Linked DNA regions of Coturnix japonica. The protein of the gene in region 1 purifies or fractionates together with the protein of each later gene. This does not show direct contact. Links are inferred from orthologs where the notes say so. Each region holds a gene or a part of one and is shown on either strand. Other genes may lie near its edges. The genes, in order: STYK1 and TMEM259.

Region 1 (4,482 bases):
ATCTGTATCAAAGAGTTCATAGAATCATAGAATCATAGAATCATAGAATCACCAAGGTTGGAAAAGACCTAAAAGATCACCCAGTCCAACCATTCACCCATTACTAATAGCTCCCACTAAACCAATCATTAGACAGTTCTATCTATTATTCTGCTACAGCCTCTCTCTCAAATATCCTGACACAGACCAGTCCCCGTTTTCCAAAGTGAGCTGTAAAATCCCCATTTACATCCAGTATTTCACACGCACACCAGATAACTGCACATACTAAATTCTGTAACTATATACCCAGCTAAGTTGTAGGAGCAACCTCAGCTTAAATGTGCAGGAAGCAAAAACAGGTAGACTCAAGCTCATCAGTGAGTTTCTGAACCTTGATATTGTCCAAACATGAGACATACAGCCTTGCTTTTATTTCCTTCTCTGAAAACAAGGGGTGGGATGACACTATGGATAGAGTTTCACTGTGGTAATTACGCCATGCAGTAGGCAACGTTTTTGTTTGTTTTATCTTAAATATATGTCATTGCTCAAGCGCTATCAGAGGGTATCCATTTTCAGTTTTTTATTGTGTGGAAGTGTGGAAGGAACGCAACGAGTTATAATGGATTTAAAGCTCCATCAGGGTGCTTCGTGTTCAGAGGTCTCACCAGGCATTTAAGTCTTACTAAATAACTATGTGCCGACAAAGCAGGGATGCCAAGGGTCTTAAAAAAGCGGCCACAGTCCCGATTTCATCCAGACTGTCACCCACCACAGTGACTGCAGGGCAACCTCACTCCGCCGCGATGCCCGGACAGAAGGCAGAGAGCTGGTGATCCCTGCACCTTTACCACCCCATCCCGAGTCCCAAGTGTCCGTGAGGAACCCCGTCAGGATCCTTTAGACTCCTCCCCGCCCTGGCAGCCCGTACCGCCTCGCCCTGTGCCAGGCCGCAACCGACACGCCTAACAGACCCCACGGCTCAACCCCAACCCTCCGAGCTCGCGTATATAGCGCGGCTCCCTCCTCCTAATTCTAACAACAGGGACGGGCGGGAGCGTGACACGAGAAAACGTTCTTCCCTGTACGCTCGTGCTTGCTCTGCCCTCGAACTCCCCACCTCGGTTAATCTTCTGTTTCACGACAAGGAAACGCTTGGACAAACAGTTAGGCGGCCGTGAGGAAAAGAAGGGGAAGGACAGGGGGCTGGAAGTGGCGGTGCAGCCGGACAGCTGTGCCCCGGAGCCGCGACAGGAGGGTGCTTGCTGGTTCTAGCACTGTCGTGTCCGCCCAGCCTTCCTTCCTTCCAGCGCGGTCGCGGCCGGCCCTGGGCTGCGGCAGAGCGGGCACCTCAGCGGGCCCCTGCCGCGCTGCTCCCCGGCCATGGCCTCCTGTGAAGGCCTGGCCCTCTGCCTGCTGCGTGCTGCCTCGTCCCCGGCCTGCCACAAAACATAAGTACTCCCGGAGGTCGGAGAGCAGAAGGTAATGCCCCCCTTACCTGTCTGCGGTTCCCCAGTTCCCACGGCCCTACACCGCGACACCCTTTGATGCTGGCGTCCTTTACCCACCAGGTACCCCGAGCTGTTGTTGTGAGAGATCTGAAGATAAGAGCCAAGTGATGCCTCAAGCACGAACTCTCGAAGTTGGCTGCATCTGCTTTCTTTCCTACAGAGGTACACCTGCCGTCTTCATGATTTTTGTCTTTATAAACAGTTATTGGAGAAGGTGTTTGCAGGGCTAAGCAAAGAAGGGCAGGAAATTCTATGATGGCTGAGAAACAAGACACAACGTTTGTCCAAGTTGTTGATAATAGGCTTTAAGTGGTATATAGGAGACTGAGGATCACGGCCCTTTGAATGGGTCACACCCCTGATTGTGTCCTATTCTTTATTCCTATCCAAACCTTACAATCTGTTTCTTCTAGTATCCAAACATCAAACTCCTCTTGCTTTTAAATAATTGAATATATTAATATTTTAATTATGTGTGAAACTTTTACTCATCTCTTGTAGCCATCGCTCATTTCACTGCCAGCTGTGCACAATAAGTAGCTAGTTTGAATATTGCACTCCACCCTTATGCAAAGAATAAACATACCAAGTTACATGAAAACTGTGGAATTTACCATGAAGTACCGTGTTGCTAAAATTGTGCAGGGTGTTGAAAGTAGGCAAAATCTTTCAAAACAGATGAAAGAAAAGATAATACTTGGCTAAATAAATTCTTGTATCACGGGTTGCTGGAGGCAATGGAAAGCATTGTGAGAAATACCATTTTATGTTGTTTTGAGCTTTAGTTTCCCTAAGAAGTCCCATGGCCAGCTGTCTGAGGCACAGTGCTCATTAATGGACCCCTTGTTTGAAACTGCTATGTGATATATTGTGATATGTACTTCCTAGTTCTAGTAAGGTCTCTGTGGGCAACCTTCCTGGAGGAGAGATGGCTCCTCTACTTCTTTTTGTGTGAAGTGGTGCAATTTATTCAATACTTACACAGGGTGCTTAAGTATGTTCAACAGCTTCTAAGTTTTGTCAGCAAGAACTGTTGTATTCTCACTTGGAAATGTGAACTATGTGAAAAAATGGAGTGGCAAAACCCAGGAACTTAAGAGGAAAGTTTGTATGTTTAACAGAATGAACAAAATGGAAAGAGGAAAGGTCAAATTAACAGAAGAATATGCATACATAATGTGCTCAGGAACCCAGTTGCTAAGGTCAATGACACCCGGAAACTACACAAAGCTAATGGAAATGCAAGTGATATGTGCTGCACCTACTTTCCAGTCTATCAGTTGCCCTATTGCCCTTGGAGTCCTGGGAAGAACTCCATGGGCTAACTGTGGATAAGTACTGATTTTGGGATGCCAAAGAGGAGATCCTTTCAGAAGAAACTTGTTTTCTGGGCAGTTACTTGGAGTTTGCTGATTTTTGTGACTTTTCAGCCACAAGATTAGCCCTGTGGTTTTAACAGTCTCTTCACACAAGAAAAAGACTGAATGGTTTGTGGCTGCGTTTGCTGTCAGTCTCTAAAGTGCACTGTAGAGATTACTGAGCAGTTGTGTATGTGGTTTGAATGGTTGCTTCATATGCTGTAGATGTCTCGGAGATAAAGAGGACACTTGTGTTAACGGAACCGCCGCTCCACCAATTTCAGTGCGCCTTATCATACTTGCATAAGGAAAAATAGCAAGAGGAACACAAACATTTAAACAGGCAGTGTTCTCCCTGTGGATGCGCACAGACAGAATAAATAACTTGTAGCAGAAGTTTGCTTTTAACGAGATGAAACGTGACAATAAATGTGTGCTGTCCCTTAGCCGAACAGGAGGAAGGGTTTATGGACCAGTGAGGAACACTGGTCTGAGACCTGAACTCTGAACTGTTTAAATATCTTCTCCGACCAGTCTGACTGGGAGCACAGCAGAAAGATTAACTAAGGAAACAAAAAGCAGTGGGGATTGCTGCTTTTGCTTATGCATGCCTTGAATATTAACCCCTTGCATTTTTCCCCCCTTCCCCCCGCAAAAAGGGTATTTAGAAAACTGAGGAAGAAGGAGTGAAAGGAGGAAGACTATCAGTTATTGTATTTTTAAACCCTAATCCCTAAATAGGAATCAGGTTCCTCTGAAGAGGTTCCCCCAGCTGCCCTTACAAAAGGAGCGTGTGGAAAGCAAAATATTTCAGTAAATAACACAGGTAAAAGAGAAAATGTTGTTTTCAGTGTATCCATGTATTAAGCAGGAATGAGTTAAAGGACAGATCCTGTGCATCCTCATGGAAAGAATAACACTGAGAGTCAATGAAAGTTAGCACCAGCATAAAACAATGACAGAAACCAGAGCCTGAGCTTAAAGTTTGCAGCTGTAACAATCTTTGCAACTGAAGTAAATGCTCAGTCTGGAACATGGGTGTCCATCTTCCTGACATGCTTGGGCTGCACTGTGTGAAGAGGAATTATCTTGGACAGTATATAAAACATATAACAACAGAGACCATTTTGTTGAGGGACACGGTTTAGTGGGAGCTATTGGTAATAGATGAATGGTTGGACTGGATGATCTTTTAGGTCTTTTCCAACCTTGGTGATTCTATGATTCTATGAATTGTTTGGTTGTTTGCTAAGGGATGGGTGCACACCCAGGGCCAGGCCAGACCTCTTGGTGGGGCAGAGCCACCACCATGATGGTATGGGGCAGGGAGCGAACTTCATTGTGAGCTGTACTGGGCCACATGCAGAATAAGGGCCACAGGTTGGTTTGCACAATCTAGGGGATTTCTCTTCTGGTTTTTCAGGGACAAAACTCCACATCACTGAACTATTTGTAATTACTGTTCTACCGGCTTACGTAGAGATCATGCAGTGAAGAGACACAGTCCCAGTATTCTCCATTTTGCACACTTTTACAGTAAATACCAGCTGGAAGAATAGTGCCAGACTGAATCACAGAATCACAGAATTGTAGGGGTTGGAAGGGACCTCTAGAGATTGAGTCCAACCCCC
Region 2 (4,527 bases), on another chromosome or scaffold:
GATGGACCCAGGTGCCCGACGTTTCCTATGGGACTGCATCCTCAGCCTGGTCAGGGAGGGTCGCTCCGTGCTGCTCACATCGCACAGGTGGGTTCCCAGCACAGGGGATACCTGTGGTCCCTGCTGTGTGTATCACACCTTCCCCCCTCCGGCAGCATGGAGGAGTGCGAGGCGCTGTGCACCAGGATGGCCATCATGGTCAACGGCCGATTCCGCTGCCTGGGCAGCGTTCAGCACCTCAAGAACCGGTAATGGGTGGGGGGCTGCCCTGCTGGGTGGGTGAGAAGGGGCTGCCTGCATTGCCGTCCATTCCTTGGTGCAGGTTTGGGGATGGGTACACGGTGGTGGTGCGGGCTGCGGGGCCCGGCCCTGCTTTGTGTACAGTGCAGCAGCTGATGCAGCGCAGCTTCCCCGGCATCGCGCTGCAGGAGCAGCACGGCAGCACGCTGCAGTACCGCCTGCCTTCCAATGCCTGCTCCTTGGCTCAAGTGTTCGGAGTGTTGGCAGCGCACTGCGGGCACGGCCACATCCAGGATTACTCTGTGTCACAGACCACCCTAGACCAGGTGATGGCGGTGGGGGGGCACGGTGTATGGGGTCCTTCGTGCTGTTGCTGCTGCTCACCCCCTCCCCATCCTTGCAGGTCTTTGTGCACTTTGCCAGGGAGCAGAACGACGGGGACCAGGTACAGGACATGGGATCAGGGCAGGATGCAACAGCAGGGCAGGATATGGCCCCAGTGGTCGGGAGGACGCCGTTACCGTTCCTGGAGGACGACAGCTATAGGGAGAGCGTGGTCTGAGTGTGGCTGAAAGCCCCCTGGACCCCCCCCACCAGCCCCAGCCCTGCTCCCGGCTGGTTCACAGCCACTGGTCCCGGTCTGCCGCTGGCCTGGAGCCCGGCTGCAGCACGCTGCTGGTTTGGGGTCACGATGTCCCGGCTCGGAACCGCAGGGGAAGGCTGGTCCGCTCCCTACAGCGGGGCTGAGTGTCGGGCTGTGCTGCTCGCTCTGAACGCGATAATAAAGCGCTGCAGTGCCGCGGGCGGAGCGCCGTGCTTTGTGGCTGTGACAAAACGGGGCCGGGGGGGTGGAGGGGGAGTAAAAAATAGAGCTGGGGAGCAGCACTGAGGGGTGTCGGTGTGCAGTAAAAAATATGGAACGCTTCACGAATTTGCGTGTCATCCTTGCGCAGGGGCCATGCTAATCTTCTCTGTATCGTTCCAATTTTAGTATATGTGCTGCCGAAGCGAGCACGACTCCCTATTCCCATCGTCGGCTATATAAACCCCTTTTATCTAATAACTTTAAAGTAATGGTGAGCTGAACTTTTATATGTCTGTGTACTTCTTCTTTTGGTATTACCCCTTTAATAAAAGCTCTTACTTATTCCGCTCAGGCTCCTTTTTTGCAGGAATTTGTCTTTTTTTGGGCAGAACCGTCTAAATTTTTTGCCGAGCGCGCGCGATGCACGGCGGGATGATTCCTATTTTACATATAGGGCGGGCTTCCTTCTTCCGGCCATCCCACAATTCCTTGCGGCGCTGCGTTACGTCGGCGCTGTGCGTGCCGCAAGATGGCGGCGGGGCGGTGCGGGGCGGACGGGGCCTAGTGAGGAAGAGGAGGAGGAGGAGGAAGAAGAACCGCCACCCTCCGGGCCGCCCATGGCCTCGGAGCCGCCTCAGGAGCCTCGTCCCATCCGAGCAGCACCGCTACGAGACCGTTCTAAGGGCTGCTGAGAGCTGCAGCCCTGTTGTGTGGCTGTGGGTTGAGACCAGGCCTGTGTGTAGGCCCCACCATGTCCGAAGCTCAGCCCCATGGGCAGCACCCCCAGCCCAACCACACCGGGGCCGCTGGGGGAACCAATAGGGCCGGGAGGAACGCGGCCCTCAATCAAAACCCGTTAATTAACGTCCGAGACCGGCTGTTCCACGCGCTGTTCTTCAAGATGGCAGTGACCTACGCGAGGCTTTTCCCTCCTTCCTTCCGTCGGGTCTTCGAGTTCTTCGTGCTGCTCAAGGTGAGGCCAGCAGAACCTCTGTGTGCTCATCACACACGGCTGTGCTTATGGGGTTCTATTCCCTTTAGATACAGTCGGTGCACAGCTCTGTTTTATCTCTGCTTCTTCATAATCAACGCCCTCAGCTGTGTGCCAGGTGTCCTCCCTCTAAGGTGAAGCCTGTTTGTGTTTTTGCTGATGTAATTTGATGGGACAGAGTGGCAAAGCTGAATTCTGCAGGGTCTGGAAGTTACAGCCTCCCCTATAGGAATCTGACTGCAGTATCCTGGTGCTGTGTGAGCTCAAGTGTTGCCCTGTGGCTTCCAGAGCTCATTGTGCCTCTCTGGGAATAAGAGAGGGACACAAAGGAAAGGCAACTAGGTAACACAGGGTCTGGAAGTTACAGCCTCCCCTATGGGAATCAGGCTGTAGAATGCAGGGCAGCCTGGTGCTGTGTGAGGTGAGGTGTTGCCCTGTGGCTTCCAGAGCTCATTGTGTCCCTCTGTACCTATGGAAATAAGAGAGGGACACAAAGGAAAGGCAACTAGGTAACACAGAGTCTGGAAGTTACAGCCTGCCCTATGGGAATCAGGCTGTAGAATGCAGGGCAGCCTGGTGCTGTGTGAGGTCAAGTGTCTCCCAGAGCTCATTGTGTCCCTCAGTGCCTCTGGGAATAAGAGAGGGACACAAAGGCAACTAGGTAACAACACGATTCTTGTTCTATGGGGCTCTAAAATCCAGCCTCTGTATTGTACGTGGGCACTCTATTCTCCCTGCCCAATTCAGGTTTTGTCACGCCAGGAGAAATTCCTGCTGCCACCTGCTTTTAATTGAAGCACATTGAGGAAATTAAAGTATTCCCAGAGGAGATCTTTGCTTCTGCCCTTAGGGTGAGCAGGCAGCTGTGCTTTCAGCCTGCTTGTGGCTCTGTGTGAGGATAGTGGTGGGAGGCCAAGCCTGAAGCCACGCTGTGCTTGGCATTCTGGTGCTGCTCCTGGCTGCTTTCATCACCGTTCCCCTTGCACCAGGGATCTGTTTTGGGATTACCTTCCTCATTGTTTTCCTATGCAGCTCATTGCAGATGTGCTGTTACCAGCCTGTTTATTCATAACATATAGGTCAGAGTGCATGGCAAAGACAGGTACTGTAATCAAGAAGAGGCATCTTAATGCAGTTTAAAAGTGAATGCATGAAATGCAACTGTGCTGCTTACAGCTGTTCTTTGGAGCTTGAACTTTGGCCAGTGTTGGATAACTCCATTCTAGGAAACGGGTTTTATTAGTTCACTTTGTTTTGCTGTGACTTGGAGCTGAAAGCATCTTTCAATTAGGAATGAATTTGCTCCAGCCTGAAAGGTCTTTATAATGGAGCTCCCGTTGCTCATTGGTAGGCTGCATGCTTTTAAAGCAAGCCATTTTGTTCTGATAATAACACTCCTTTGCATCCCAACTCCTGGTGTTGGTTCTTGCTGCTGCCTTGGGTGTGTTTGTGTGGCTGGTACTTTAATGCTGAAACCCCATAGCCCAGAGCGTGGCTCTGTCCTGTTGGATGTGCCACAAACCCATATAGTCCTCTGCAGCCTTTTATTTTGAATACAGCAATGTTAATTCCATCATTAACATCTGGCTGAGAGCAGAAATCAAACACAGATTGATCTGAGTGTTTTACGACCTCTCTGAATAAGCTCGGGTGGCCTTTCCTGGTGGTTGGGTTGTGTTGGCAGCGGATCAGTTGACAAAAACCCATCTGTGGATTGGCAGTTTTCTTCCAGGCAATGCTTTGAAATGAGGGAGAATTCAGTAGGGACTGAGTGGCAGTTGACCTGCTCTGTAGCTGTGCTGAATGCTGCTGGAGCTTGGAAGGAAATGCTGTGCCCTTATGCACACAGAGGCAAGGCAGGAGGCACTTTGCACGTGGTTTTGTGCAAGTCAGCACTTCTTTGACCCTAGGCAGTGTATGTATTAACATGGCAGTGTGCCTCCTGGGTGGCAGCCAGCTGCACTCAGCCCCAGCACGGTGTGTTAATGGAGGAGTTTTGGTCAAAGGCACTTTGGGAGCTCTCATTCCCAGGAAAAGCTTTAGGGCTCTTAGTGTTTAACCTCAGAAAGACGAGGTTTCAGCAGGTTAGCGAGGTGTCAGAAGGACAAAGTACAAAGGGAGTGTTATATAAGCACTGGAGCTGGAAGAAAAGTTGATTTGGGGGCTGTTCTGCTGTTTGATGCAAATACAGTTAGGGTTAGAAAGCTTAAAGGCTCTCATCCACCTGCAGCTGTAGTATCTGCATGAAGAAGGGATGGCTGAAACTGGGCAGCCTATCGACGGGCAATGTTTGGTTGGGCTGACAATCTCTGCTTTGTTTCTTGCTGTTTGTAGGCTCTCTTTGTGCTCTTCATCCTGGCGTACATTCACATCGCCTTCTCCCGTTCACCCATCAACTGTTTGGAGCATGTGAGGGACAAATGGCCGCGTGATGGCATCCTGAGGGTGGAAATCCAGCGCAACTCCAGCCGGGCCCCCATCTTCCTGCAGT

Evidence for each region.
Region 2: the proteins of STYK1 (region 1) and TMEM259 purify together in Homo sapiens (affinity purification with mass spectrometry; 3 studies listed by BioGRID and IntAct, with this or other methods). This does not show direct contact. The link is inferred for Coturnix japonica from reciprocal best matches to the Homo sapiens genes STYK1 and TMEM259.

What each region holds. Positions count from the first base shown.
Region 1 is NC_029516.1:70,357,352-70,361,833, forward strand, and holds the start of STYK1 (tyrosine-protein kinase STYK1), read left to right. Parts: upstream 1-1,553; 5' UTR 1,554-1,655; intron 1,656-4,482. UniProt on the Homo sapiens protein: Probable tyrosine protein-kinase, which has strong transforming capabilities on a variety of cell lines. When overexpressed, it can also induce tumor cell invasion as well as metastasis in distant organs.
Region 2 is NC_029543.1:1,976,657-1,981,183, reverse strand, and holds the start of TMEM259 (membralin), read left to right. Parts: upstream 1-1,533; 5' UTR 1,534-1,796; coding exon 1,797-2,018; intron 2,019-4,370; coding exon 4,371-4,527. Other genes in the region: phospholipid-transporting ATPase ABCA7, read left to right, coding at 1-87, 156-248, 323-566, 644-802. UniProt on the Homo sapiens protein: May have a role in the ERAD pathway required for clearance of misfolded proteins in the endoplasmic reticulum (ER). Promotes survival of motor neurons, probably by protecting against ER stress.